2 linked regions of the Coturnix japonica genome follow. The protein of the gene in region 1 purifies or fractionates together with the protein of each later gene. This does not show direct contact. Links are inferred from orthologs where the notes say so. Each region holds a gene or a part of one and is shown in the gene's direction. Other genes may lie near its edges.

The links.
Region 2: the proteins of ANKRD17 (region 1) and HOXB6 purify together in Homo sapiens (co-immunoprecipitation; 3 studies listed by BioGRID and IntAct, with this or other methods). This does not show direct contact. The link is inferred for Coturnix japonica from reciprocal best matches to the Homo sapiens genes ANKRD17 and HOXB6.

What each region holds. Positions count from the first base shown.
Region 1 is NC_029519.1:45,248,023-45,263,146, reverse strand, and holds part of ANKRD17 (ankyrin repeat domain-containing protein 17), read left to right. Parts: intron 1-2,699; coding exon 2,700-2,848; intron 2,849-3,974; coding exon 3,975-4,086; intron 4,087-4,267; coding exon 4,268-4,413; intron 4,414-5,390; coding exon 5,391-5,533; intron 5,534-6,231; coding exon 6,232-6,445; intron 6,446-7,000; coding exon 7,001-7,176; intron 7,177-7,928; coding exon 7,929-8,091; intron 8,092-8,656; coding exon 8,657-8,752; intron 8,753-9,559; coding exon 9,560-9,676; intron 9,677-10,496; coding exon 10,497-10,668; intron 10,669-11,529; coding exon 11,530-11,977; intron 11,978-12,923; coding exon 12,924-13,079; intron 13,080-13,187; coding exon 13,188-13,337; intron 13,338-13,801; coding exon 13,802-15,124.
Region 2 is NC_029542.1:3,156,580-3,172,132, forward strand, and holds the start of HOXB6 (homeobox protein Hox-B6), read left to right. Parts: upstream 1-7,442; 5' UTR 7,443-7,556; intron 7,557-11,714; exon of another isoform or gene 11,715-13,543; intron 13,544-15,248; 5' UTR 15,249-15,426; coding exon 15,427-15,553. Other genes in the region: HOXB7 (homeobox protein Hox-B7), read left to right, coding at 1,168-1,567, 4,136-4,389. UniProt on the Homo sapiens protein: Sequence-specific transcription factor which is part of a developmental regulatory system that provides cells with specific positional identities on the anterior-posterior axis.

The sequences.
Region 1 (15,124 bases):
CACAAAAAAGATTATCAATTCATGGGCCTTGAAACATTTGATATTTTAGTTCCTAGAAGCTTCCTTCTGATTTGAGTCAATTATAACTACCTAAATTTATACATAAGAATCACATCAACTGTAAGTTCTGTCATGGTGTTAATAAAATTAGTAGCTGGTACTGTACTGAACTAAAGCACAGATATACTTAAAATGCTGTAATTGTGACCTAGTTGTGAAGATGTTCTGTCCCAGCCATACAGTAAGTAGGGTGTAATGTTGAAGTGCAGTGTTTCAGGTGAACTGGTTTAGCTGTTTATTAACTTGAGATTAAGCTCATTGGTTGTCGTGTTTCACTGCTCAAGACTAGCATGAAAACATTTGGCTTACTGTGTCCAAACAAGAACTAGAAGTTTTCAGTAAAGATTTTGTTCGTTGTCATTGGCACACTGATGAAAAATTTGAACTCTGCATAGATGACATTCTAAGAAACATAATCCAAATTGTTAGCCATAAAGAGTAATACCTTGTCTCAGTGAGTACTTTAGGATTATGGATGGTATTATTTATGTTACTGCTGAAGCACATTCCAGATGAATTTAATATGAGAACTATAAGTCAACAGACATATTGATGGACTCTTCTGTTATCATTCATAAAGCCATTTATCCGTTATGTGTATGATTTGTGGAAAGGGATATGGGCTTTTAAATATGTCTTTCCTTTATGTCTTCTTTGAGACTTTCCCAATTAGCTCGATTTTTATTTTACTATTTTTAAATATGAACGTTTAATAGTGACAGCTGTAATACTGTGTGTGTTCCCCAGCCCCAGTATCAGGGCTCCAGCAGAAATCTTAGCAAATACCATGTGCTGCAGTCACGGGGTAAACTTCTTTCGTGTGTAGATTATTTGATGATCATGCTTTTATATCATCTGATTTAAGCTAGTGTAGTTAGTTTCCAGATGATTTTACCGTCTTTCTCTGGCCCGTTTGAACTGGGTAGGAGTGCTGAGGATCGTGATGATTTATTTATTTTTTTAATAATTTTGTGACTGTTTTACCATGATTGAGCTTTCTCCTTTAACTTGGAGAAAGAAGGTAAACTTGCTATTTTTTTTTTCCTAAATTATTCATTATGACTGTACGTGTGAAGATGGAAGCAGGAGTTCACACACATTGTTTCACAGAGAATGTTAACAAATTGGTTGTTACATTATTAGGTCATATCTCTTTACAGAAAGAATAAGGAGTGAGATGAGGTCAAAGTCGACCTTCACTGGATGGTATTGGATTACAGTGCCTTATTCTGTACAACACTGAGCTCCCTTAGGCCACGGTTTTTGACCTCCTATCAAGAGTATTTTGGCTCAGCATATTTCTATTAGTTCATACCTAGCGTGATTTCTTTTTTTCTTCTAAGATGAGAGCAGCTTTCAAAAGGTGCTCTGATAAAAAGATCAGCACAGCTTGTGACATGATGAAGTCCTAAGGAGAAGGTGAAGCATACTTCTTGTGCTCTAAGTTGATGTTTTGGTTTCCTTTCAATGGCATTTATTAGCTTCTTTAATGATATTTGTCATAGGAAGTCCAGAAATAAAAGGAAAAATGTACTAAAACCACAGCTGCTTTGCACAGAAGTAGTACACAGTTTGGCACGTTGTGGTAAAATTTGCATGGCATCTGTTGAAAAGGTTACCCCTTCCAACTGAACATAGGAACTATAAGTATGGTTGGTAACGTGGGATATGGCTAATGACTAAATCGTTTTGAACAATAAATGGGACATCAAAAGTTGGGGATAAAGGGAATTTATTTCAGTATTCCTTAAGATTACTCGGTGTAGTGTATTCAGTGAATGCTGATAACGTGGAAACCATATTTCTTTCATTTTGCAGCTACAGGTCCTGTGAACTTGACGGGAGAAACCTATAACTGTTCACTTCCTCCTTTGCTGCTCATACTTGATAGAGACTTGTTTTTAAAAAAAAAAAAAAAAAAAAAAAGGAAGAAAAGGAGGGAAAACTTTAGATTCCTTTAAAGAAAAACAAATAGAAAATAAGAGTTTCTTTCCCCCAAATGCTGTTGTAGCGTCAAGTTAATTTGGTACTTGTAACTATTATACTGATGAATTTTAGGGACGTGTGACTTTGTGTCAGGTCAGAATACTGTCATCAACTGTAAGATGATATTACCTTATGCTGCTTATCCTAATGTCTTTGACCAAAGTCTCTGCAAAATGGCTGTTAAGCTGCTTCTTCACTGGTTTCAACAAACTCTTCTATGTGAGCAACCTGATGCTAGCTCTGCTGCTTCTCTCTGTGATGTTTGTGGGGGACTAGAGGAAAGTAGGTGGACTTCTACATGAGAATCCTTAAGCTGTTTTAAGAAAAATTACATAGATAATTGTTACTTCACCTTGTTCTGCAGTCCAGCTTCTGAAGGTATGGGATTCCTGGTACATATAATGACTGACTTGTAGGAAAGGTCTTTGATATTAACAAAAAAAAAGTATTATGCTTGTGGGGTTTTTTTGTGTTGGGCATTTAGAAAACATGACAGTCTGATTTGTACGTGTTTATTTAGCAGTCTGATACTGTTATAAGGATTCAAAAAGTAGATTAAATATGTGGAGAAACGCGCATTTCTGAATTTTGGAATATTTGAGTAGTTCTTACCCAATGTTGCTTTTACTAATTGTAATTATTCTGTTCAACAGCAGTGAGCGGAAGAGCATCTGCAATGTCAAACACTCCTACCCACAGCATTGCAACTTCTGTCTCCCAGCCTCAGACGCCAACTCCAAGTCCTATCATTTCTCCTTCAGCCATGCTACCAATTTACCCTGCTATAGATATTGATGCCCAGGTAAGCCTTCCACTGTCACTGCAGTGCACATGTGAAGCTATTTTCTTTCTGTATTCTGAATAATTCATTTATAGGGAACAGCTCTGTTGCATAATGAGACTTGATGAGCTGATTTTAGAAAGCCTGTACAACTCTTGGGAGAATTGCAGCCCAGTTTCTTTCGTGCTCTAGCTGAACAAAAGAGAAGAGCCTTTGTTGTACATCACTAAATGTTTGTATTTCTCATTTCTTCAGTGAGTGAATATGAGAAATAGGGTAGAAAAAATTAAGTATTTTGGGGTTGACTTCTGAAAATGAAAACAAGGCTAAAAACTTCTTGCACACTTATTTTTCACGGTTGTGCTTTGAGTTGTTGGCCAGTGACCCCCCAGGCCTGACAGAAGTATGACAGTATTGCTAAAACATCTTCAGAAATGATTGATGAGAGTTCTCCCTCTCACCAATGTATCTGTATTGAAAGTCATTTTAAAAGCACCTGCTATTTGTTGACTTGGAGCTGTCAAGCCATCAAAGGGGGGGGGGGGGGGGGGGGAAGCGTGTAATGCTTTTTTTTATTTTCCATTATATTTATTTTTATGTGCATAGTTCTAGACTGTACAGTAAGTGACCAAGGTGATAGGGCTAAGATACAAGCAGTGTGGAGATGAGTAAGTATGGATTGTTGTAGACTGCAACAGGAGATTATTGTGGACTGGGGAGAGGAATCTCTGGGAAAACAGTTCCAGTTAGTTCAGCTGCTTATGGCAGTTGGCTTGGTTTCTGCTGTGACTGCAGGTCAGATTCCTCCCATAACCTGATGTGTCTGATTTCTAACTGGTAGACAGCAAGCAGCACATGTCAGTACTGAGTTTGGTTGCCAACTGCCCTCAGTCATAATAGAGTAAAGCAAAACTAAAACTATGCTTACACTGAAATCGGCTCTTGAGGGATATTTTTATAATATTCCAGGAGAGCAGATTAGAGGTAGAATTCTAACCTGAACTTGAAAGAAAGATGAGGTGACCAGTAAATAGGTCTTAAGTTTTCATAGTTTTTATTTCATTATCAATGCAGTTGTATTTGCAACATGACAGAAGCTGTACTTGAAAAAAGGAAGAACTTATATTTCTAATGATTTCTTTTTCAGACTGAGAGTAATCATGACACAGCATTGACGCTTGCTTGTGCTGGTGGCCATGAAGAACTAGTACAAACACTGCTAGAGAGAGGAGCCAATATCGAACATAGGGACAAGAAAGGTAGCTATCTCACTGTGGCAATACAGACCCACTCTTGTCTTCACTGTAACGTAGTTAATAAATATGCAGTAAATATAGTTTTTGTGTGAAGCTTTTAGGCTTACTTTCTTGGTGATTTAACATAAGTTGCTTAATTTGAAGTTATGAATGTGGATTCTTCAAACATCCTTTTTCGTTCTAGGATTTACTCCACTTATCTTGGCTGCTACAGCTGGCCATGTGGGTGTTGTTGAAATCTTACTTGATAATGGAGCTGATATCGAAGCCCAGTCGGAGAGAACAAAGGACACTCCCTTGTCCTTGGCTTGTTCAGGAGGCAGACAAGAGGTGATGTAAACTTTTAAGTCTTCAAGAGCAGGCTGTAGATTACGTATCGTCTGTTTTTTATTTTACGGAACATAGTAACTTGTTACACAGTGCTGTTTCAGGATGTTTTTTAAAGGCACAAAGAGTTAACATTTTTGAAGTTTCTTATTGCAGTGTTTGATGAAAAAATCCTTTTCCTATTTCAATAAGTTGGACCAGACCTGTGAAACAGATCTCCTAACTCCTGGCCAGTTAGGGGGTTTTTACCTGCATAAATGGATGTGAATGTGGAAGTGAATGGGATCAGTGTTCCTGTTGAAAAGTTAGAGTTTGCTATGAAATAGCTCCATATATGAGCCAAGAGGATGTTATAGTTGGTTCTGCGTAGAATATGAGTACTGTAGATGGCTCCGGTGTCTTCTGTTTTGTTGGGCTTTTTAGTCTAAGACATTTTTCAAATGATTGATGAGAAGTAAATATAAAGGAAGTCTTTTTAAATGTTATGTGGAATACTGTGTTCTTGAGAAAAAGTCAGATGATAATGGTCTTAACAAGTTTGAAGTGTGTAGTTCTGTAAGTGCTTCTGTTTGGTTTGCAAAGGCCACAGTGGAAACCATATAATCTGGTGCAGGGTATTGTCGCATATGAAGATGATGGTTTCACATTTTCCTAGACAAAATCTTACAAAAATTTGTCAACCTTCTGGCCTGTTTTTCAGCCCCATTCAGAAGATGTTAAATGGGACAGAGGACAGTCAGCAGCTGCAGAAGAGCAGCTGCAAATGACAGTTATGTGTTCTTGATTCTGGGGGAAAACATTTTAGTCTCAGCTTTCACAGAGGACAAGAGTAGAGTGAAGGAAATGAAGAAAACCGCTGTCCTTACATTGAAAGATGTTAACAGTACAATATAGGATTCTGAAAGCGTTGAATAGTTTTGTATCAGACAGACTTGAAAGTCTGAGAGAAAACTGTATGTTATTTTTTTAAAATATTACAGGTGGTGGAGTTGCTTCTAGCTCGAGGTGCAAACAAAGAGCACAGGAATGTTTCAGATTATACACCTTTAAGCCTTGCTGCTTCTGGTGGCTATGTGAACATTATCAAGATTCTGCTAAATGCTGGGGCAGAAATCAATTCCAGGCAAGTTCCTTTTTCACTTCTTCATGGTCTTTACCCTTTCCAAAAGGCTTTCTGGGCAACTCAATTGAGCAGGTTGGCTTGTGCTTACACAACAAATAATTATCTGTGTAATTGCCTTATTTGTAGTAGACTTCAGGTAGGAAGGAAAGGTTTTTGAATATGCTTCTTTCAATGCTCACTTAGCTTCCAGTTGCTTCTGTATGTTTTGATAATGTCTGCCATGCGTCATATTACATTAGTCCCCTTTGATTAAAGGTTAAGAAAAATACTCCTCCTTTCTCTGATTGGCCTGCAAGTTTGAAATTACTTCTGGGTTAAATAATAAAAAAAAAGTGTGCATGTTTGTTTCTCATCTGTAATTTAAAGAAAGATTTTGCTGTGTGTTTGCATTTGTGTAGCGCCTCTTGCATACATGAAGTAGTTCAACCATACATTGCACAAGTCAAATAAGTGTTCAAGCAGAAGTTCCTCGTAAGAAATGCTGTCAAATTTACAGTAGTTAAAATCCAACATGCCTGCAATGCTTTGAAATATAAATACTTGTCCAAAGTTGCTGACAAGAACCTTCCATGGTTTCAGTTATAGTTGCTGTGTTGCTGTCTTCCATTCTTGTTAAATATTCTATTTTTTCTGTTTTTGTTGAAGTAATCTCAGAAATGTGATTGTGATTTGAACTCCTTTATCTTTTCTTCTTTCAGAACTGGTAGCAAATTGGGCATTTCTCCCTTAATGTTGGCAGCCATGAATGGCCACACTGCTGCTGTGAAGTTATTACTGGACATGGGCTCTGATATAAATGCCCAGATAGAGACCAATAGAAATACAGCACTAACTCTGGCTTGTTTCCAAGGGAGAACTGAAGTGGTTAGCCTGCTCCTTGATAGAAAAGCAAATGTGGAACATAGAGCTAAGGTAAGAAGCAAATTGCTCTCCAAAAAAGAGGTACTTCCAAGTATTTAATGAATTTAGAAAGTCATATTCTTGACCTAGGTTGTACTTAAGGTCTGATCTCTTCTCCTTGTCTGACTGCTGGGGGGATTTTGAATGTCTGTCAGAAGTTAATGTGTCCCCCTTCACCTAGCCAGGCACTTTCTGGATGTTGCTGTGTAGCCTCTCAATGAAGACTAAAAACAAAAGTGTTGCAGGTTTTTTTAGCAATGCTTATGCTGATCATCAACTGTGTAAGGTTGACTGTGCTATTTCTGAGATGCTGTGACATCAGCAAGCAAAGAACCTTCTTGAACACTGTGCAGCAGCAGGACACCTATGCACTGTCGTGCCTCTTTTTCTGTACAGGTGTATATTTTCTCTCCTTTGAAATATTGGTAGTCTATTACAAAACTGGTCAGGAGGGGCTGTAAAGCTGACTTGAAATATGCTACTGGAAGTAGAAATCAGTCCTCTAAGTGAACCCAACTCCCAGTTCTTTCAAACAAATTGCTTGATTCTCTTGCATGTTTATTGTAGACTGGTCTCACGCCATTAATGGAAGCTGCTTCTGGTGGATATGCAGAAGTAGGCAGAGTTCTGCTGGACAAAGGTGCAGATGTAAATGCTCCTCCGGTACCCTCTTCAAGAGACACAGCTTTAACCATTGCAGCAGACAAAGGGCACTACAAATTCTGTGAGCTTCTTATTAGCAGGTACTGTATTTTTGAAAGTGCAGTGCTTAAAGGAAACGATCTCTAATCTGTGTTGCAATATACACTACATGATAGGGAATGAGAAGAGTTCTGTTAGACCATTAGTAATTATGCTTTCTGTTCAGTGAGAGCGATCAGACTAAGTTGTGTTTGGTGTTTGAGTACTTACTTTTGGCTGTGTGGACTGATAGAATTTTTCCTGTTTTATGAACTTGAGAACATTCAGAGCATTTCATGTGAAGGTGATATTTCTTGTGGTTGCATCACTGGTGCCTTCAGTTTAAATGTCAGTCATCGAAAAGCAGAAGATGTGCACAAAACACAAGTCTTAATGATTTCATCTGTTTGAGGTTGGTCAAAGTACGCTAAGCATAATTGTTTCTTGAAGTAGTGGTACTGGCTGTTGGCTTGCACTCACAACTTTACAAGTTGTTCTCAGTAAGCTATTGAGGAATACAGTGTACTAATGGATAGAAGTTAATGAGGTAATTAGCAATGCTTCAGACCCAACTGACAAACAATATGATTCAGAGTATTAAAAATCCATGTAGTCTGAGTGTAGGCTTTTGACAGCATCAGAATCTAAAAAATATTTCTGAAACTGAAGCTCTCTTTGAGTGCATATGTTTTATGTAAAAGCGAGTGCTGAATTAGCCTATTTTTCTTAAGCATTGCATGAACTTTTGCAAGTCCTGTTGACACAAGTAACTAACATCTTCTCCATTGTTTTGACTGAACTTTTGCTTTTGTAGAGGAGCCCACATTGATGTGCGTAACAAGAAGGGGAATACTCCACTGTGGCTGGCAGCAAATGGAGGGCATCTAGATGTTGTCCAGTTGCTAGTTCAGGCTGGAGCAGATGTGGATGCTGCTGATAACAGGAAAATAACTCCTCTTATGGCAGCCTTCCGAAAGGTAGAATGTGAAGTTTACCTTTGGTTTTTATAAATGTTGACTCAGTCATCCTCATTATTATCAGGAATAAACAGGAGCATAACTGATAAGCTGTGTCTTTAAAGATGTGACCTACTAATAGTGCTTGGCATTGAATCTTCAAGAATAGGTGTGCATTTCACCTGCATGATGTTTGTTAAATTCTAGTAGAAATTCTTTATGGTCATTTTACTGACTATGATTTTTCATGGATCTGAGAACAGAAAATTACAGTATTCTCTATGGAGATGTGGAATATGCAACAGAAGTAGGAAAATGATTTTTAAAATGAATTCTTATGCAAGATTGGATGAGTGTTTTAAAAATCAACTTTGAGTTAGTCTGGCCTGACTTGAGGTAATTGAGTGTAGTTCCAGTTCAATAGTAATTTAAAAATTACTAATGACTGTAGGAATATATAACTGTAAGTAGCCAGAGCCAGATGTTGGAAAACTGTCAAAGGGGAAAGATAGAAGTATGTGAAAATTAGGCTGTAAAGCCAGCTTGACAACAGGTACTTGAATTGCTTTGTCTGTTCCTTCTTCAGGGTCATGTAAAAGTGGTGCGCTACCTAGTGAAAGAAGTAAACCAGTTTCCATCAGATTCGGAATGTATGAGGTACATAGCAACTATTACTGATAAGGTAAGGCTGTAAGATAACAATACTGTGACTCAACAATGCTTGTATGTTTTCAGGTGTTCTCCCTGTCAGTGGTGTGTATGTTCTTGCCAGTGACTGTGACCACTGGTCACTTGCATGATGCTGAACACCCAATAAAAGTAATTACTGCCGTGCAACTAATACAGGTTTATAAGTATTAAAATACTTGAATGTTAAAATATTTCCCAGGTGTTTCAGGGAGAAAGTGGGGAGCTAAGCCTTGTTTTGTGACGGCCTTTCAATTTGTGCATTTCTTTCACCTCTCAGACTATTTCTTTGGTTTCATGAACACTTTGTCTTCATTAGGTGTAGATTATGAACTGTCTTTGTACCACTTTAAGCATGCTGAGATATTAATTATTGACTACAAGTTCTACCTGTTAATTGGGAATCAGTTTGCGGAGTTGGGCATGAAAAGGAAATTTCAAGCTGTGGTGAAGGAAATGTTACATTGATAACAGTTTGGACTTGGGATCATGTCTTACTCAAGAATGGAAGGAGAATTTCATCTGTCATGGTGCCATGTCACTTACTACTCGTGACTCAAAATCAGTAAATAAAACTTTTGCAGCTTATTTGCCAGTGAGAGACTAACTTGGTATAATTATGGATGTTTTGTAATAGTATTGCACTGGAAGTAATGGAAAATGTTTATTTTTTTTTCTTCATTAAAAGTTTTCTTTGCAAGTAAGGAAATCAGTAAATTAGTAGCCTAAGCTTGAGAGTGTATACTCTAAATGTGTGCTTTTACCTTTTAAAATGGAATGTTGATGTACTTTGTTGTTTTAGGAGATGCTGAAGAAGTGCCACTTGTGTATGGAATCAATTGTTCAAGCCAAAGATAGACAGGCTGCCGAAGCCAACAAAAATGCAAGCATTCTTTTAGAGGAACTGGACTTGGAGAAGGCAAGTTAAGGGTTTGCAGTTGGGAATATTTATTTGATAAGATTACAGATTTGTATTCCTTCAAGACCAGAAGACCTGTGAATGTCCGTACTGAAGTATAGGAGTAAATGTAATCAGTGTAGTTGTAGTATCTAGAGCTGAACATCTGGTTGTTCAGGTTATGTTTGTACCTTCCCTTCTGACTTTTACTAAGAGAAACTGGGTTAAGGTACTCTGATATAACTATATTTTCTCTATATAATACTGTACCAAAAAAGGATTTTGAAGAACTTTTTTTCTGTCCAGTATGCAGTAGGTGAGCATTTTGCAGTGACATTGGTCTGGTTTCGAGGTCTAAATCCCCTTTTGTCTTAAGTAAAACAAAATATGTGGATAATATTCCTTGAAACTATAGTTTTGTAGTAGAGATGTTATTAAAAAAAAAAAAAAAAAAAAGACTTAAGTAGGAATGTGTCATCAAATGAGTGCATGTTTTATATCCAGCCCAGCTAAAACTATGGCACATCCTAACCTTTGAAAGGAGAATGAGTGCGTTGGGGCAGTACTGCTAAGACAAATGTAGTAGTCTTAGAATCCTGAAAACATGTTCTGGAAAATTCATTTAAGATGGTGTTCTCTATTTCTACATCAACCTTCTGTTAACATGGGAAAACAATCTGTTTGCAAGAAGTAAATGTAAAAATATAGCTCACAGAGTTAAGCTGACTTTGTAAATGTGTTAGTCTAAAATGCAAGTTCAGCTTCTCAGGAAAAGGGAAAAAATGGCATTTGCTTTTTTTGAAATGCATGGAAAACATACTGTAATGTGCTTTAATTTTAGCTACGGGAAGAAAGTAGGAGATTGGCTTTGGCTGCTAAAAGAGAGAAAAGAAAGGAGAAACGGAGGAAGAAAAAAGAAGAACAAAGAAGAAAATTAGAAGAAATTGAAGCTAAAAGTAAAGAGAATTTTGAACTTCAAGCTGCTCAGGAGAAAGAGAAGCTAAAAGCTGAAGGTGACTTCAACCTCTTGATTTATTTGTGAAATGTGCCTCTTGAGTTTTCATTTCTAGTTTTCCAATGGCTTTTCTTGTCAAAACTTGAGTATAGTCGTCTTATGACATGCTGAGCTTTTAGTAGTTTACTTGAAACCAATAGATCACTCTGCATTTCTGCCTTCTTATTACTTCTGTGTCTTGTTATGTTTAAGGATTGGTGACAGCAGGTTCAGTGAGAGTTGCAGGTTAACTTAACCACAGGAAATGTTTTGGCATGTTTTTACTTCCAGGTCCTACTAACTGAAACCTGGCCAAGTTGTGTTTTTTTCCCTCACACACAGAATAATAATTTTGATCCGGTTAAAAAACAAACTGGCAACCATAAAATTCTACATATGTTGTCCTATCTATCCAAATATTGGCTGTTCTGTATCTTGTGGTGTTGAGCTGCATCTTTGGTGGTGTGCTAAGAAATGGTCTTCACTGACTGCTGGGTTGTGCCGATAAGCTAAAAGAAAGGGAAATACTTGTGACAGACTTTGATCTGTTGTTTCATGTACTTGTTATTCCTGTAATTGCTTTTGTCTCTGTCTTTCCATGCTTGAATTTAGTTTCACACTTAATGAATTTCTGCTACATTTATTTGAAGATCAGAATGAAATGCTAGATGAGTTATAACAAACAAAGCAAGCAGCTCGATGGCATGACTTGTTTAGTAGTTGTACAAATACTGGCTTTGTTAGAGACTCTGCTTTATTCTTGGAGTCTTCTAAAGATGTTTGTGCAAGATTTAACTTGATAAGTGTTATTTGGAGCACACAACCATACAAGGTTTCTTGAATTATCTAAATTAGTACTGTTTTATATTCCTTCCACCAGATGATCCAGAGGTCCCAATGGAGCCTCCTAGCGCTACCACTACGACCACCATAGGCATATCTGCAACTTGGACAACTTTAGCAGGTTCTCATGGGAAAAGGAATAATACCATCACCACAACAAGCTCCAAAAGGAAAAACAGGAAAAACAAAGTAGCCTCTGATAATGTTCAGATCATATTTGATGACCAGCTCCCAATTTCTTATAACCAACCAGAAAAAGTAAATGGTGAATCTAAGAGCAGCAGTACTAGTGAAAGTGGTGATAGTGACAACATGAGGATTTCCAGCTGTAGCGATGAAAGCAGCAATAGCAACAGCAGCCACAAAAGTGACAATCATTCTTCCACAGCCGTTACTAACACACAGAGCAACAAAAAGCAACCATCGGTTCTTGTTACTTGTCCGAAGGATGAGAGGAAAGCAGTTACTGGCAAATCATCCATAAAGTAAGTTGCTGTGACACCATTTAAAGTGATTGTTGCATTACATTTGGAAACTACACCACTATCTGCATGGGCTTACATATTTAAATCAATTGTTAGGAAGTGGATGAAGCCACAGTGGTGTGTGAGGAGTATAATAATGGAGTATAATAATGGTTGAAATTTAACATGAAATAAGTAGTAAGCTCTTAAGGAAGATTCATTGGTGTGGATCAGAAATATAGAGAATTGTTAAGTTATTCAGAAATGCAGGCATTTCAATTTAAGCCACCTCTTAGTATAGTACTTCTGAGCTACGTGGTAGTTACTTTGCTTTGTGCGATCTTGCCCAAGGCTGCTCAGGGTTTCACTTAAAACGGTTTGAGACAGAGACAAACTAGAAGTACTTTTCTGCCATTTTGAGAGCTGTAAAATGAGTAGAGCTAATTAGAGAACTTCGCTAGTTCTGGAACGTGAAACAGTTTGGAGGTACAAATTAGATATGCTCAAGCTTTTTAACTGCTAGTGAGAAGTACTTATTTCAAGATGTGGTGTACCATTTCATTCTCTGTATGGGAATTGTGAGAATGCAAATTCTTAACAGATCTTAACAGATTGCTGTTTTGATGGAAGATGTCTTTGAGTAGTAGGAATTTCTTCCTTGTCAATTCCAGCTCTTGGAATACAAATACCATTTTAGCCTTCATAAGCAGTGTTGCTGTTTTGTAGTGGGTGGTCTGGGAACACCACAATAACGTTTTACTGAACGGTTTCTGGGGACCAGAGATAATTTTAAGTGATTTTAACTCCATGTTGTTATTAACGTGGCTTGTGCATTTTTATTTTTGTTTGTTTGATGTGCTAAAAGAGGAAATAAGTTTTGACAGGCTTCAGACTGGGCCTAGTGGAAAACATTGTTCTGATTTTCTTTGCTAGTCTGCATTTCAATAAATAATAATTTATTTTAAAGGTTGTCTGAAGTCATCAATGAAGTGACAAGTAATTCCTTGTCTACTTGCACAAAGTCCGGTCCTTCCCCCCTTTCTTCTCCAAATGGAAAGCTTACCATTGCTAGCCCTAAACGTGGTCAAAAAAGGGAAGAAGGATGGAAGGAAGTTGTAAGAAGGTAAGCTAAACTTTTCCCTAATTTTCTCCTTACAGACTTTGGCTAGTCTGCCCATTACTTCATGCTGTTTGAAGCGTTTCCCAGCTAATGTTTCTTTTTTTTCTATAGATCCAAGAAGGTTTCTGTTCCATCAACTGTCATTTCCAGAGTCATTGGCAGAGGAGGATGTAATATCAATGCTATACGTGAATGCACGGGAGCACACATAGACATTGACAAACAGAAGGACAAAACTGGAGATAGAATAATAACGATAAGGTAAGCAGACCATTCTGTTCGTTTATTCCTGTGAGGAATGAACATTTTTCATTACAAAACATGCTAATTTGTATAGACAAATCTGTTCAACTGGGATTGTTCCTTGAAAGACACAGATGCTGCTTCTGGACAGGGAAGACAAATAGGGTAGCAGAAACAGATGAACTGTAAATCTTGTACGTTTGCACTTGTACAAAAGACTTTTACATTTCTAAATATGCCCACTTATTTAGATAAGTCAGTTTTCTAACTGGATGGTGTTTTCTGGGTTAGAGTACTCAATTTTAGTTTCTTAAATAACCATCAGCAACGAAAAAGAAAGGCAGCCTCTCTCTCTCCTCACTTTTTTTTTTTTTAAATCTGTTAGTATGACAGAAAGATTGGCAGGAACCTGTTCTTTAGGTACATCTCTGTGTGTAGATGTTCAAAATTCACTTCCCTTTTCCTTTCCTTTTGTTGTTCAGGGGTGGCACAGAATCAACAAGACAGGCCACACAGTTGATTAATGCTCTGATTAAGGATCCAGATAAAGAAATCGATGAACTTATTCCAAAGAACCGCTTGAAAAGTTCATCTGCAAACTCCAAAGTAGGGACATCAACACCTGCTGCCACTACAGCTGCTAACAGTTCTCTTGTGGGAATCAAAGTGACCACTGTAGCTGCTTCATCAACATCTCAAACTGCCTCTGCACTCACCGTGCCTGCAATTTCTTCAGCATCTAATCACAAAACCATTAAGAATCCAGTGAATAATGTGCGACCTGGTTTCCAAGTCTCTCTTCCATTAGCATATCCTCCTCCGCAGTTTGCACATGCTTTACTCGCTGCTCAGACTTTCCAGCAAATCCGTCCGCCTCGGTTGCCCATGACGCACTTTGGAGGTACTTTCCCACCAGCTCAGTCCACATGGGGTCCGTTTCCTGTTAGGCCGTTGAGCCCTGCAAGAGCTACCAATTCGCCTAAACCTCACATGGTGCCTCGCCATAACAGTCAGAACAGCAGTGGTTCTCAGGTGAATTCAGCAAGTTCTTTGACAACTAGTCCAACAGCTACAACAAGTTCAGTGGCTTCTACTGTGCCTGGTTCTTCTGCAAATGGCAGTCCAAGTTCACCTTCAGTCAGAAGGCAGCTTTTTGTTACTGTTGTGAAGACGTCAAATGCCACGACAACCACGGTGACAACCACAGCAAGTAACACCAGCACAGCGGCTACTAATGCCACATATCCAGTTCCTACTGCCAAAGAACACTACCCTGCATCTTCCCCATCATCACCTTCTCCTCCGGCACAGCCAGCAGGCGTTTCTAGAAGCAGTCCTTCAGACTGTGCAGCAGCCTCTCCTAAAAATAAAGGTGCACCTTCGTCTGATCAGGAAGTGGGTAGTCCGCCAGCAGTAGAAACAAGCAGCTCAACCAGCACTAGGCAGCCCAGTACAGGTTCTGGGAGTTCCTCTGTGCACCCTGCTCATCAGCAGCCTCCAGGAGCTCCTCTGCAAGAGGCAAGACCCCCTCTTCAGCAACCTCAGGTTCCTACACCAGATCCTCGAATGGTTGTGCCTCCAAATTTAGCAGTGACGAGCTCATCTGCTCCTGTGGCAGGTCCAGCAAATGCCCCAATGACCTATCCCATGTCTCAGACATCAATGGGGTCTTCTCAGCCTGCAGCTAAGATGGAAACCCCTGCCATCAGACCGCCTGTCCACGGAACTGGCAGCGTCCATAAGAATCCAGCTCCTGTGCAAAATTCTTCTGTTGCAGTCCTCAATGTTAATCATATCAAAAGGCC
Region 2 (15,553 bases), on another chromosome or scaffold:
GCCCGGCTCTGCTCACTTTCCTTTCCAACCCCCCCCCCCCCCCCCCGCCCCCCTTCTCTGTTCTGTGTGTCGAAGCGGTGCAGCTGAGCTCTCTGCTCTCCTGCCATAGCAAAGGGAGCGCGGATGGGGCTTGGGGATGCACACACATCCCCTTGCAACTTAACCTTGGGAAAGGAGAACCGGTGCAAACCCTAACGGCACATCCACCATTGTCTGAGCTGCTGTTCCTGCCAGTAAGACTTTATTCCTTTCTTACTCCCCCTCCCCTACCCCGCTCCCTCCAACCGATAAAAGAAAGGGGGAAAATTGAAGCTGATCTGGAAGATCTCTTTGCTTCTCCAGCAGAAAGCAAATCAGCCAGCTGGTAACGCTTTCCTATAACTGTAATTGAGTCCCGCAGAAGCGCTGACGCGCTAAACAAGGGATCTGTACAGCCTTTATTTTTCGCAACAAGAAAAGCAAATGCCAGTTCAATACGAAACTCAAAGCCCGTGGCATTGGAATAGATGAGATATAGAGCTGAATGGCATTTGAAGTGGGGGGAAGCGGGGGGGGGGGAAGAGCTTGGAACTATTAGGTATCAATCAGACATTTGTCTTTTGGGGGTGGTCGCAAGAGGGTCAAGGGGGGGGGGGGGGGGAGAGCATGTAGTCCTCGGAAAAAAGTGCTTCGGAGCCGGGAAATGAAGCGAAGGAGGGAATTTTCGACGGGATCAATAAAGGGATAAATAGAGCTCCGCTCCTTTTCCTCCACCAGAGAGAGACCGAGAGGAGCAGCGCTGCTCACCAACCCCCCCCGCCCCCTTTCCACCCCCCTTTCCCTTTCGCCTTCTCTTCTGCCCTCGGTCCTCCAGCTGAAAACTGATTACAGGTTGCTTATCGACTCCAGCACAATTTCACCCCCTTCCAGCATAGATCTTGGAGGGTTTTATATCGCATCAATTATTTATCATATTTTATAAATCCAGCAGCACTACAATTTTTTGCCCCCGAGGAGGGAGCGGGCGGCGATTGGCGCCGCTGGAGCCACGTGCCCGCGCGTCACATGGGCCGGGAGGAAAAAGGGCTCCTTTTTGGTGTAAATCTGGACTCTAATTCCGTAATATATCACGGTACCTCGTAAAACCGACACTAAAACGTCCCGACCTACAAATCACCCGGCCAAATTATGAGTTCATTGTATTATGCGAATGCTTTATTTTCTAAATATCAAGCCGCAAGTTCGGTTTTCCCATCCGGAGTCTTTCCCGAGCAAACTTCTTGCGCTTTCGCCTCCAACACCCAACGAGCTGGTTATGGGGCCGGCTCCACGCCTCCCTTCGCCTCCTCCATGCCCGGGCTGTACTCCAGCGGCAGCGCCGTGCACCCCCAACCCCCCGGCATGTATTCCTCGGGGTACGGCCTGGAGCCCGGCTCTTTCAATATGCACTGTTCCCCCTTTGAGCAAAACCTCTCCATGATGTGCCCGGGAGATGCTTCTAAGCAAAACTGCAACAAAACGGACCAGAGGGATTCAGATTTGCAAAGCGACAGTAACTTCCGCATCTACCCCTGGATGAGGAGCACAGGTAAGCGCAATCCTCCTTAAAGAAAGGAGACTGTGGTGGGGGGGGGGATGGGGGGAGTGTAAATTATTTTATGGCGTACGCGGGGGGTGGCGGAGGGGGAGGGGGGAATTGTCCCCATCTCCTTTCATGACGTTTCACCGAAAACGAATCTCCGGCTTCAAAAGGGTGAGAGAGAGAGAGAGAAACCCCCGCCATAAAGCCATCCTTTTAGCTTTAAATATTTATTAGTGGTGCTGGGGCTGTGTGTGTGCCGTGCAAAAGGCAGTTTGTCTTAGAGGGGACAGACAGAGCTGCAGGAATAATGGCCATCCCCTTCTTCTCCTATATTTACAGGATGAAGATCGCGCTACCCCTGTGTAGATGTAGATATAGATTCCGAAATAAACTATTGATGGGAGGTGCTCTCAAGCTCGTTTTGTTTTCTCTCAGGCTGCAAACCCTTCCATTGCCAGCCCCTCGCCACCGCATCCCAGACACCGCGATTAAGCCTAGCGTGTTGCCATCTGAAAAAGCAACACATCATCCTTGGCTCAATTAAAAGCCCTGTTTACAATAAAAACGCTGACATCCCGGCCGGGATCCGGCTGTAGGGACGGATCCAGGGACTGCGGGGTGACCTTCCAAATAACCCCAGACAGGATCTCAAAGCAGGGAACCCCACGCCAGGACTCTGCTCTGCCTTCATCCCCAGCCCTGCTCCGTCTCAGTGTCAAGTAACATTTCTTAAACATCCCGTTCCCATCGCACGGGAGTGCATGGGATGCGGGTAAGAAGCTCCTGGGGCAGGAATTCCCTTCACTTTGGGCCCCACTCGGGGTACTTCCCTGTGCTTCAGACACCCGTGGATGTGTTTATACCCGAGTGACCCTGGCACGGGAATGGGAAGAGCTGTCCTGCCTGGGAGCGAGGAGAACGCATGAGCTCATGTCTCTGGCCGCTCCGGTGCCAGATTGCAACTTGAGAGCATCCCTGAGAGCAGCCAAATCTTCGGAAAGTGTCGTGTTAGTAAACTTCGGGGGCGAGGGGAGTGCGGGCCAACCTCCTGCATAGAGAGGGGAAAGGAAAACAGAGGGGCAGCCAATGCTGGGCGGCTTCACAGGCAGGAGGTACCCTAGCACTGATTTGGTGGTCAGTCCTTTCCATTACCTGCTCCATAATTCATTCAGTTTCAGAGTTGATTTATCAAAGACCAAATATTTCTGGTCGTAAACACTTCGTCTCCCCTTTTATCCGGCTTTAGATTTAAGAAGCCCTCCACTCCCCACCCCCGCACAACCCCCCCCATAACCCACCCACCCCTTTCAGCATGTGACGCTACGAGGAACAGCGTTAGGAGGGTCTGGAAGAAGGGCAAACGGGGGGACCCCTCACTCCCAAACCTGGATGCTCTGTGATCTGCCGTGCTTAAAACCAGAGAAATTCGACCTCAGGGATCCCTCCTCCAGCGTCTGATGCCCACTGTGCGATCGCGGTTGTGGAATTTCATCAGAGTGCAGAGATAGAGTTGTCATCCCTATTCAGCAGCAGTTTATGGCTCTCCCTCAGCAGATTTTACAACCCACATTCCACGACCTGCAGATTCGTACTTTACAGCTAGCACGGCTATTTTGCTTCCCCCCCCCCTCCCTCCTTTTAATGACTGGATCTTTTCTTCCTTTAAAAAGGAAAAAGGGGGGGGAAGAAAAGGGGGATGGGGGGGAAGGAAAGAGGAGTCCGATGGAATGTGTGGAGGAGAGGCCGAGGGCTGCTGTCCGCCATCCCCACTTCTCCACGAAAGAATACATTATACTATAGATAGACGTCGCATTTACACAGAAAATAGAGAGGGATCACAAGGGCTATATTGTACCATTATTCCCACTTGCACTCTGGAAACGTCGGGTTGGAGAGGGGGGGGTGGAATTACGGGGTCGGGCCCCTTACAGACCCTCTCCAAACAGCGGAATAGCAGCGCAGAGGCTGCGGTAGGGTTGAAGCTCTTCCCATGTTGTGCACACTCGGAGGTAGCAGCCCCTACGTCAGCCACAGCCGAGCAGAAGCCACCGCTGTGCCCAAAAACATCCCCTGAAATAATTAAGACCATCACACACCTTCCCAAGCAAGCAGCCCGATGACAGCTTTAGGAGAGGACAAATAGTTGGGGTTGTGGAGGTAGCGGGCGCAGCTCTCGCTGGGTTCTTTTTGTGTATTTATCCCTCTTCCATCCGAAGTTTGTGGTGTTTAAACAGAAATTAAACAGGAGCTGGGAGAGCAGGAAACTTGGTGAAGTTTGCAGCTCCATCCCGCTCGGCTCTGAGGCACAGCGGGGCTGCAAGCGGAAAATCACCGCTCCCTTCTCCGAGATGAAGGGCGATTAAATTCGCAATGTTTTGGGGCCGAGAATAGGGAGGGAGAAGTGGGAAAAGCTTCTGGAGCAGGGAGTTGGTATTGAGAATGTGGAGAAAGGTAGGATCAGCTTGTGCTCTTCCTTTTGTGGAGCTAAGGAGGACGGGTGTTGCTGGGCATCAAAATATAACCCCCCCTCTGCCCTTCAAATCTAACTGATCCTAATCTGCATTTCCTTCCCAGGCACGGACAGAAAACGCGGCCGACAGACCTACACGAGGCAGCAGGTTTTAGAGCTGGAAAAGGAGTTTCACTATAACAGGTACCTGACCCGAAGGAGACGCATTGAGATCGCCCACGCTCTGTGTCTCACGGAGAGACAGATCAAAATCTGGTTCCAGAACAGGCGCATGAAGTGGAAAAAAGAGAATAAAACTGCCTGCTCCGGTTCCAGCAGCCAGGAAAAGGCAGACGTGGAGGACGACGAGGAGGAATGAAAAGGACAAAAGGTGGATCCAGGAAACGTGAAAGCTCACGGGAACAGAGAAAAAGAAAGGGGGAAAAACCACCCAGAAAAGACTGTATACTAAAATAGATCGACGCTAAGTGCATAAATAATTAAAAACTTAGGAATGATCCGTTGTGTTTCCTGACACTGACAAAAAAAAAAATACTACCTATATCGAAGTCTTTTTTTTTGTACAATAGAATGAATATCTACCTATTAAATGTGGCTTTAGAGTCAGAATAGACACATTTTTTTCTATGTGAGTCTTCCTATAGTCCAAGTAATTTGTAAATCTCCGTTTGTACTTCGCTGTGTACTTTTTTGGTATGAAGTAACGTGGTCGTGTTTAGCACCTTTAATTTAGAAGATGTGACCTGAAAATCTGAATGCAAATGATACTTAGCATATATAGAATCCTGTACATAATAGGAATTATTATTACGCCTTCTCCCTGTAACCTCTGTGGTTCTTTCCACGTTGCAAGGCTGTTTTGTCTGTGTATATTTTTACCCGGATTTCCTCCTTGTTGAATCCCTGGGAGAGAAAAAAACAAAAAACAAAAGGAGTTAATATTGTGCTACGTAAACTGTTGTATATCGAAGTAGCAAAGTATTTAATGGCGACGTGTTGCTTTTGATTTTTCCCTCGTCTGTGTTGATTATTCTTCGAAATAAAAAGGAAATCTCCAATCTTCTCGAACCACGTTGCGTTCCATTCCCTGTCCTCGCTAAGAACACCACTCAAGGCTTTAGAATCTATCTATAACTATATAAGAGCAAATGTGTTTATTAAAAGACCCCTTTTATATTAAAACCTGCCCCGACCCATCACCACCCTGCGCTCCTTTTTCATCTCAGCATCGCTCCCAACACTTGAGTGCTTTATTCTTTTGGAGAGACTCGGCCAAAACGCGATGAGCAGCGCTGAAATTCGCGGCCGCTTCATCTGCCTCCCTCTTTGGCCACGGCCGAAGGAGGAACGCAGAGAGGCCAGGAGCGTCCAAATCACCTTTCGTTGTAATTCTCTTCTTCTTAAACCAATTTACAGGAATAAAAAACCCCGATCTATTGAGCCGGGCCTTCACTATTTTCTTTATTCTTTTCCCTTTTTAAAGATTCTCCTTCCGCTCTTCAATTACTTTACTGCGGATTGGAACTCTTTTCATTAGCACCGAATAATGTTTAGCATCAAAGAGCGCATCAAAGAAATTAAAGCAATTAAACGGGGCGTGTGGGGGGGGAGGAAATCAACAATGCAAAACAAAAGCGAGCAAATTTAAGCACTTGCTCATGGAGCAGCCCCCGCCGCTCTCCCCCTCCCGTTTATATATTTACAGAGTGCGTGGCACAACGCGGATTCCTCCAGCGGAGGCTCCGCGTAACTTGCTCGCTAAATGAACGCTCAGGATGATGCCGGGGAAGCGCAAAGGGCTTCTGGTTGGGGAATGGCAGCTTTCCGCCTTCCTCCCCTCCTTCCATTTTCGCCACCCACCGCCACGGATGGCCCCATGGAGGCGAACGGGGCATCCAGCAGAAGGTCCCAGGGAAAAAAAAAAAAGGGGGGATGATGCCACGTCAAGGAGCCGCGCGCCCACATCCATAAGAGCGATTTGCAGAGCAGGCTGCATCTGCTAATTACGGCAAGCCCATTAGTAAAAGGTGCCACTTACGGTGGCATATGAACACTGGAAATCCAGCTCGAAGGAAGGGAAAACAAAGGGAAATCTTCCACATTTTCTTGGTGAATCCTTTGGTGAGATCTCTTGGAGAGGTTAAAAAAGAAAGAAAAAAAGAAAGCTGTCTAGAAATTTCACCCCAACCCCCCGTTCTGCAGCCAACAGCCCCCCCCCCTCCCCTGCCCCCCCAGCCCCCCCTGGCACGGAGCTGTGCCTCAAGCAGAGGGGATCGAAGAGGGATCGAGGAGGGTCTCATGGAAAAGCCGAAGTGTGTGCCATGGCGATACCTCCGAGACCCGAACTGCGCACCCCGTGTGTCCCTATGGGAGTCCCCGCTTTATAGGGGGGAAATGAGCGGATCCTGTAGGGTGAGCGGCCGTGGGGAACCCCTGAGCACAGCCCCCCCCGACCCCCCCACCCCGGTTTTACCCAGGGCACGATCACCGCTGTCCGCCTTTATTTCCCTTTTTGTTACCCCCGAAATCTGCGAATTGCCCTTTGCAGCAAAAAAAGGGTCCCCGTTGCATTGAAAAATAAAGAGACGTCCAAAGTCTCCCCCGAACCCCACTGTTTTAGTGCCTTTGCTCGTTTAAAAGCCAAACCCAAGCCCAATCTCTTTATTTCGGGGGAGTCATTATTGTTCATAGCCTATTACACGAGGAATTATTCCATCATTTCTCTCCAACACCCCCCTCCATAGAACCAAAGGGGGGAAAATATCCCCGAACCCCTTTTCATATTCTTTTATTTTTGTTTAAAAAAAAAAAAAGATGGCGGCTAAGAAAAAGACTGCTGTTAAACCGGTCATGAAGAAATGCAATAAATTCCTTGTTGTTTTATGAAAATTTACAACTTTGTGATAGAACTTTATGAGTGGCTGGGTTCTGGGATTGGCCAGAGCCGGTCATGTGGACTGCTAACCGTGAACATGAACTTTTTATTATTTCCCATGTGGTTATATTGCACCATTCTTCTGTCCGCTGCACCTTGGGTCGGATCAGTGTCCTCTATAGGGCTCTCTCCTCTTTACATTTTTTTACTTTTGTGTATAGGCTCGATAGGTCTAAACCAGGGGAGAGGGGAGGGGGGACGCCTATACACACATCCACACGCACACATAGGCTCTCACATCCGCACACACACGTAGGAAAAGAGGGTTTTGGGGTTATTTTTTCCTTTCCTTTTTGGTTTTTTTTTTTTTTTTTTTTGCTAATTCCTTTGTTAATTTGCCTGCCGATTTGGAATCTCAGTAGTAATGGAGGGACAGTGGAGATTCTGGAGCGAGTGGCGGCTATCATTTTTCAAAGAGGGAAGTTACTCCATTTTCTATGCAAATGACAGAAATGCAAGAAGCTATCACAAGTCAGAGAGGCAATCGACGGCTATCAGGTTGGGACAATATTTGTCAGCTAACAGATAAGCAAACGCTGTCTCTCTCTCCCTATATATTTTGCTTATACCACAGAAATGGACGTCAAAAGGTAAGGAAATAATACCTGTTTCTCTTAATTTATTTTTTTTTCTTTCTTTGAGAAAATGCGTTTGTCAAGCTGCTTTTTTTCCCTGTTTTATTCCCTATCTCCCTCTCCTCCCCTACCCAAAGGGGGGTGGGGGGNTAGCTGTATGCTGTCATTGCTGCACCCTCCTCTGGTGCTGCTCAGTTGTCACTGTATTCTAAAGTTCTGTGCAAATAGGCAAATTGTCAGTAACAAATCACAGAATTGTAGGGGTTGGAAGGGACCTCTAGAGATCATCGAGTCCAACCCCCCTGCCAAAGCAGGTTCCCTACACCACATTGCACAGGTAGGTGTCCAGGTGGGTCTTGAATATCTGCAGAGGAGGAGGCTCCATCACCTCCCTGGCAAAGCAAATGGGTTTGGTTTTCTATGCTCCGTGGTCAGCAATCTCTGTATGTAAAAGGCTGAGAGGCTTTCTTGTGATAAGAGAGCACAGGAACATAACAGCAGGAGCTGAGATCTGGAATGTAAGCCAAGGATGGGCTGGCTCGTTCCCAATTCCTTCAAATCAAACCAATGACAATCAGTTCTTGAAAAGGGGGAAGAAACAAAACACAGGGATTACAGGATTGAAAATACTGGATTAAACAGTTACAGAGTACTGAAGAAACTACATGGTGTGACCCTAGAATACAAAAAGCCCTTAAAACATGTACAAGGTAGGATGGATCTGGAAGAAACACAGGAAGACCAAGTGGAATACAAAGGTGAAAAAGATGGAGTTAAGAGATGTGGAACACAAATGACAAAGTAAGTGGGGAGACATTATAGTACCACTATCCTACTGAATTAAGTGTGGTTATTCATTTGACTATGCAATATGAGTTAACATTGGCAGAAATGAAAAATGTTACAGTTTTTCCACTTGTTGAGAAATAAAAAGTACCAACGAAGTCTACAGGAGACTACAGATAGAGAAATTAAGTACCTGCTTGACTCTACTCAGAGGCTGGGCAAAGTTAAATAGTATTTTCGCCAGGCATTAAAACCGGGGCATACAAGCAGTCATAAGGGTGAGTCCAGTAATACATGTGGAGGTTGGTGGCCCTGCCTGTGGTGGGAGGTTGAAGCTTCATGATCCCTGAGGTCCCTTCCAAACCGGGGCCATTCTGTGAGGAGGTCCCGATACCCCGGTTGTCCCAATAACTGTCACAAAGCAAACGCAGGTTTTTACTTGGACGTGGTTTAAGCGCACACGTCCTTTCCTTGCTCATATACACGCTGAATCCCACTCCGCCCTACACCAGCTCCGCTCCTCCCGCCCCGCCGTCCCGCTCCCTCCCCCTCATTCCCTCCCCTTCGCGGTGCATGGCGGCACTCGTAGTTCTGCGGCCTTTCCCGTCCGAACTGCGTTTCCCGTGGTGCCGCAGAGCAGCGCAGGCCGCGGGCGCGTCACGGTGCCGTGCAGCCAATCGCGGCGCGGCCGAGGCGGGCGCCGTCAGCCGCCAATGTTGTTTTCGCTGAGTCGAGCCGCCGGTGTTGTTGGCGGCGGCGCCATATTGGAAGGGACGAGCCCCCCGTTAGCGAGAAGCCCCTTGGCGCTGGCCCGGCCGCCGCCATGCTGTATCTGGAGGACTATCTGGAGAGTGAGTGTGTGCGGGACGGGGACGCCGGGCGGCCGGGCACGGCCGGCGGAGGGGAGCCGGGGAGAGGGCGCGGCGACGTGGCGGCGCCCCCCCCCCTCCCCCACGGCGGCGACCCCCCCCCCCCCCCCCCCCCCCCCCCCCCCCCCCCCCCCCCCTCCCTCGTGAAACTCCCAAATGAAGCTGACGTTGCAGCGCAATAAACCTCCTCGTATTTAATTGCGCTTTGCAGTGTTAACGGGTCTTTATGGCTTTCCATGCCGGAATACCGGGTAGGGTTTCAGCCTCACGTTGTGTTGGTCCTTTCCCACAGCTTGCAGCCAGGTTTTGTGCAAATCCCCCCGCTGTTCCCCCTCCGTGCTGTCTGATTTCCTAACGCTGCCTTAAGGGTAATAATTGTCCGGAGATGCGCGTCATTTTGAATGTGATTTTCATTTTTTCCAGCTTTCGGGTGGTTGAATGTAGTACTAATGGTGACTGTTACGAGGTGCTTTTTAAACATGATGTTGTAGGAGCCTGTGTGTGTGCAACGAGATTAAGATGAGATTCATTACTTAAGCATAAACCGTTTTATGACGTGACGATTTATCTCCGCTAACTTGACTGTGCTGGAATATCGTGCGGACGAGAGTAAATGATCGCAAGCCGTGGAAATAATAAACAGAAAGACAATCTTTAACAGCTATTTATTCCCAAACCTGTTACATTTTTCATTAATCACGTTGGGGTGAAGCTAACGCTGGTTTACTGCCTGTTCTCCCTTACGTCTAAATCTCTCCACACTCGTTTCCTTTTGCTTTTTAAATCTCCCCAGCGCAACAAATGATAATAATAATAGTAATAATAATACAAACAATTTATTAACCTTCCTCCAAATCCTTTTTACGCCGATCATTCCGCACCCTCCGAGGGCAACCACTTGTGGGATATCTCACCTCGGGGCGGGCAGAGAGCTTTAACCCTCGGCCCACGCGTGCCCCAGAGTGGGGGGTCCTCGCCGTTGCCTTCTTTGGCAGCCTCCCTCCTCTTTCATCGATGGAAATAAAACGCGATGCAGGAGAAGGGAGGCAGCTCCCCGCCGTGCCGTCCCCCCGGTGCCGCCGCCGCGCCGCGGGGCTCGCCCATTCCCCGCCGTCTGCTGCCATCTACCGTCGGCGGCGGCGGGCGGCGCTCCCCGGGGGCTCCAGCAGTGCCCAGTAGGGCGGGGGGCGAGGAGGTGGGGGGCGGAGGGGATGGATGGGGGCACATTCTGGATCCCGTCCTCTGTGCCCCACTGCGAGGCCCGGCTCCGAGTTTCAAGGGGTTCCCTATAGTGTTTTGCATCCCCGAGGCCTGGTGTTCTGCTTGGAGGGTTCTACAAGCTGCGTGCGTAGCCTGAAAGCGTCTGAATGTAAATGTTTGGGATGTATGTATATATGTAAATAGATCACCTACAATAAGATCTACGTGCACCCCGTATGTCCGTATGTTGAGCTGTGCCTACTCCGATGTGTGAACACTGCTTGTGTACAACTCTGTGTCTGTTCCTTGCCATATGTGCAGAGATTTATCATAAATGCACACGCACACATATATATAAACATAAAAGCTCGCATCTATCTATCTGTATACACACATGGAAGACGAAAGATAGCTGGTTGTTTGCAGAGCAGGAGCACAAGCGGAGATCTTGTGAACTGAGCTCCAGTAATGACGTACGAGGCACAGGCGAGGTGGGATTTCAGCTAATCATAAAAGGCAGAGGGGCTTTTATTTATTTATTGCTTCCAGTGGTCATTTCGGTGGGGTCTGGAAAAGATATGTCAAGTCGTGTACACAGAATGGAGGTGGTTGCTGGGGAAGGAGCAGAGAGTAAAGGCAGACGACGAATCACTTTTAAGTTACTGCGGGCTTTGAAGGGACAATGCGTGCCTGTTATTTTAAAAGGTTTCTCTCTCTCCCTCCCTCTCCCTCTCTTTCTCCCTCTCGTTTTCTCCTTCTACCATGCAGTTTCCTGGCAACTGTTTACGTCTGGACTGGTGACATTTTCTCTAAGAAAGTGAGATGATCGGTGCCTATGTTAAAAATAAAAAGGAGGGGAGGGAAGGGGGGTGGTGGAAAGTTTCTCTCTTTTGACCCGCAACAGCCTTGATTAAACCGTTCCATGCTGTAATTCCCAACACCCCGCAGCACTCGCCTTACGCACTGCACGATACGCGTCGGCTTTTCCCTTCGTCTGCTCACCGATATCCCATCCACACTTCCCTCTCTCTCAGGGTTTGCCTGGGTGCGATTTGACCACCCCAATGTTACCCCCCTTCTTTTCCCTCCCCCTCTTGCCAAATGTCACCCACATGCAATTAGGCAGTGATCAAACACTAACATTTACCATTCTTTTTTTTTTTTGTTAATAATTAGCCTCACTCTTTAATGGAACAATGGTAGATTATTATTGCTTCTTTTCAAAGATCCCATTAACAAGGTTATTACGCACTGCACGGGAAGTCAGGTAAATTAAACTTAAATTGCTGGGAATTCAGATTTAGGCGGTTATGAGCTGGGAGAGGGGGGTATTTATTTTACACCTTCAGGGCTCATTGTTTTAAACACGGTAACAGCGGAGCACAGAGGACTTCTGTCGGGTTTCCCCCCGATGTGATTTGGCTGTGGCTGAGCATTACAGAGAGGCTGCTCTGCTGCCAACTGCTTTCTATGTCTGACTCCAGGAACAAGGGTTTTTTTCAAGTGTTTTCGTGGTGTTTGCTTGACTTTATGGCTGCAATAAGTCCCCGGGTAGGGAAACCCCCGCTGTGTTCTCACTTCAGAAGGATCGGGAATTCCAGCTCCACATGAAAAAAGAGTTTCATTTTTTATTGGAACCAACTGCACTGAACTTTCCACCAAGTTCTTAGGCGGTTTAACTCTAGCACAAGAAATGCTCTGTTCTGTTTGCATTTCGAAATATTTGGGTGTTGTTTTAATCCCCTCATCTATCTGCCTCCCTCTGCTTTGTGGGGATGACGTTTGCTGGCCAGAAAAAGCGAAGCAAGAGAAAAGTAGGACCTTCCTGGGCAGATAGCCGTGATTGTGCGTACTGTAAATCCGTCCCTTTATCTTTATTGATGCCCTGCCAGCTGAGTGATGTCAGTCAGAGAGCAAAGACGGGTTCCCAGCGCTCAGTGAAACGCTCTCTACCACCTTCTGGCGTCTCCTGCGACTTTCCCTCTTTATTGCCCCTTCTCTGAGCCTGTTTTTGAGGAGATGAGGCCAAAGGCTGAATAAAGATATGCCAATGGGCACTGTCAGAGAGAGACCTAACTTATGGGCTACTGTACGAGCTTGCTGCTGAGTCCTTTATGCTCTGTGTCTGTGTCCCTCCCGGTTTGGCTGGCGCTGGAGGCGGCCAAAGAAAAGAGATTCGCGAAATAGGTCTCAGATTTATATCGGGAAAGGCAGGAGAGTGTCTGCGAAGTGGCCATGCCCATAAGCCACCTTCCATTCATTTCTTTATTCAGCCCTTTATTTTGCCAGAGCCATTTACATGGGAATAGAAACCACCTCCGTGCTGAAGGTACGGTTCTCTAGGATACAACATAGTGTAAGGTCCCCTTTCGTGTTCGCATTCATTTTAGGTGGCAAACCAATTATTCCTCTGGCCGGACCCTTCGGAAGATGAACACTGTTACACTCTTTATGTTTTTGGATATATCTATTTTTCGGTTTGGAAATCGTGTCCTCTCTTCTCCTTTTTCTCCCCATTTGCGGGGGCCAAGAGAGGCTTCGCCCTTCTCCTAAGAAGCAAGATGTATTCATTTCATCTATAGAGCGTCTATAATGTCAGCAACAAGCAATTAGCAAGTGGCCAGTTGCAATGCGTTTTGATCTCTTACATGATGTCGACATATAAACCGCCCTAATAACCTTCTTTAGCCATAAGTGCACAATATAAGCAGTATTTTACTACGGCAAATCCGAGGGGGGAAAGGAGGGGGAGGGAGGCGAGGGGGTGTCCAAACTATTTCGAGGCATTTATTCGCACATCAACCGTGAGAACTGTGAGCAAATATTAGAGCAAACATTTCAGCAGATGTACTCACGCACGGAATTATCAGGACATCCCATTTCTTAGCTCAGAATTTGCATGCGGAGCCGATCTTGTCAGACAGTCGCTGTTTTGGTAGCGCTATCAATATTGCGTAACTCTAATCAAATGTCTGAGCGGTGCGGCTCCTGCAAAGCTGTGAACTTCAGGCTTTCATCCGATGCTTTTTTTTCTCCTCGTTCTTCTCCAGCCATCGTTCAATCTTTCAATCCCATATTTGTTTTCCTCGCATACCAATAAAGCCGATCTACGTAAGTTTGGGTCCACGCCATGCACCGAGGGAAACTCTGCAAGAACAAATATAAGAGATATCAGTCAGAGAGGGGGGTGGAGGATGGAAAACTACTTCCTCTGCATGTTATTTCCTTGAATTATAAGGATTACGTTTCAGGCGAAATGTTCATCGCAGCCATGGCATGAAACAATCTTGGCTTTGCTCCTGTAAATACGATGTTTAAAATAAATTAGCTCGTAATAAGATACGACTTTCGTAGATACTTAAAGCTCCGTCAGAGAGAGCCGAGTTGGCAGCTGTACAGTGAGCTTGTAATGTATGTAATTCTAGATCTGTAGCACACACGGCCGCAGATCCAGGCACAGAGGAGTGCGTATGATAACGTGTGTCATTTCACCGCGTGTAAGAACCGACAGACAGATGGTTACAAATTCGGATGGGGAAAGAAGTCCTTCATACGATCAGTGGCACTTCTGGATTTCATTATTACTATTCTTATCGTTATTGTCTTCTTTTTTTTTTTTTCCCCTGTAAGATCTCTCTGGCTTTTCACTTCTGATAAGAGGAGCAAACTGAGGTGGGGGGGGGTGGGGGGGGACGCACCAGGTATTGCGGAGCTCATCCCCGGCTATAAAATCCGAGGTGTAGGGGGGGGATGGAGGGGGGGAATAAAGGGCTGAATGCATCCATAAATGAAAGAGGCGACCCCCAAGAGCAAAGTGTGGCTTTTAGGGGCTTCCAGCGTTTGAAGTTGGCTAAAAAAAAGGAAGAGGTGTTTTGCAGCGGGGATGGACTCGGAGAGCTGAGCACCGCGGGGTCTCCGAGGCAGAACCCCTCCACGCCACCGCTTTCCTCTCGTAAAACAATCCCGATCGGTGACGATCAATAAACTCAGCTTCTGAGAGCAACTCAGAGCTCCCTTTTGGCCATAAAAGGTCGGGCGTGGATTTGGTATTAACAAAAAAACGCAAGAGGGCACAATGCGGTACGGGACCGGGAGCAGAGCGGGATTTTGCAAAGGATAAAGGAAATACTTCGATTTTCCATTCATCTCCCCCAAGATGCGGCTTTTGCAGGAAAAAAAACCGAAAAAGACACAAAAAGCCAGAAGCGAAGGTTTGGGTGAAAGGAGCGCAGCTTTCTTTAACAGACGATGCAAATCTATGGTAATGAGCTAAAGAACGGACCTCAATAAGCTGTCAGCATTTATTTGCTCCCTTATCGGAAATCTGAGTTAATCAAAGCGGCGGGATCTGCTCCCTGCGAAGTTCACCCACCCGAACACCAAACTTTTCCCCCTTTTTTTTTCCTTTCCTTTAACGGCAGAAAAGCGCTCGGCTATTTTCGGACGGCTCGCGGGCTACAGGGGTTAAAGTTTTCCGAATGCAAACAATTAACTTCCCTCCTCCCCCCCCCCTCCCTTATTTCCCCCCCCCCCCCCCCAACCCCCCGGACAGGTATTTGTATGCTTATGTGTGTGAATACATCCGCGTGCACACCGTCATCCGCACACACCGGCTCTCACTCCCCGGTGCTGAAGTGGAGGGGGGGGATGGAGGAAGGGGGGTGGGGGGGGCGGTTTATTTATTTCTGAAGCTCTGAGAGCGCCGGGAACGCTTCTTTCCTCAGATATTATATATTTGGTTAAGGGGGTGCATTTCTGCTGTTTAAAAGGGAGGGAAAAGGGGGTGGATGGTTTGTTCTTGGGGTCCCTGGTGCAATCTCAGCTCCTCATGGGTGCTATTTTGCAACCTCAGGCGCCTGCTATTGGTCAGCCCATGATCAGATGGTTGTATTTCCTTGTGTCCCTCGCTGGCACCACGCCATCTCCCTTCAGCTAAAACCCAATCTCCGATATACTACTAATAGCTAAACCACTTGGACTATAAAACACAACAAATCATAAAGCCGGGAAAGGACGGCAGGCTCCTTCCAATGAGTTCTTATTTTGTCAACTCGACCTTCCCGGTGAGTCTGGCGGCGGGGCAGGAGCCCTTCCTGGGACAGATCCCGTTATATCCCTCGGGCTATGCGGATCCTTTGAGGCACTACCCCAGCACCT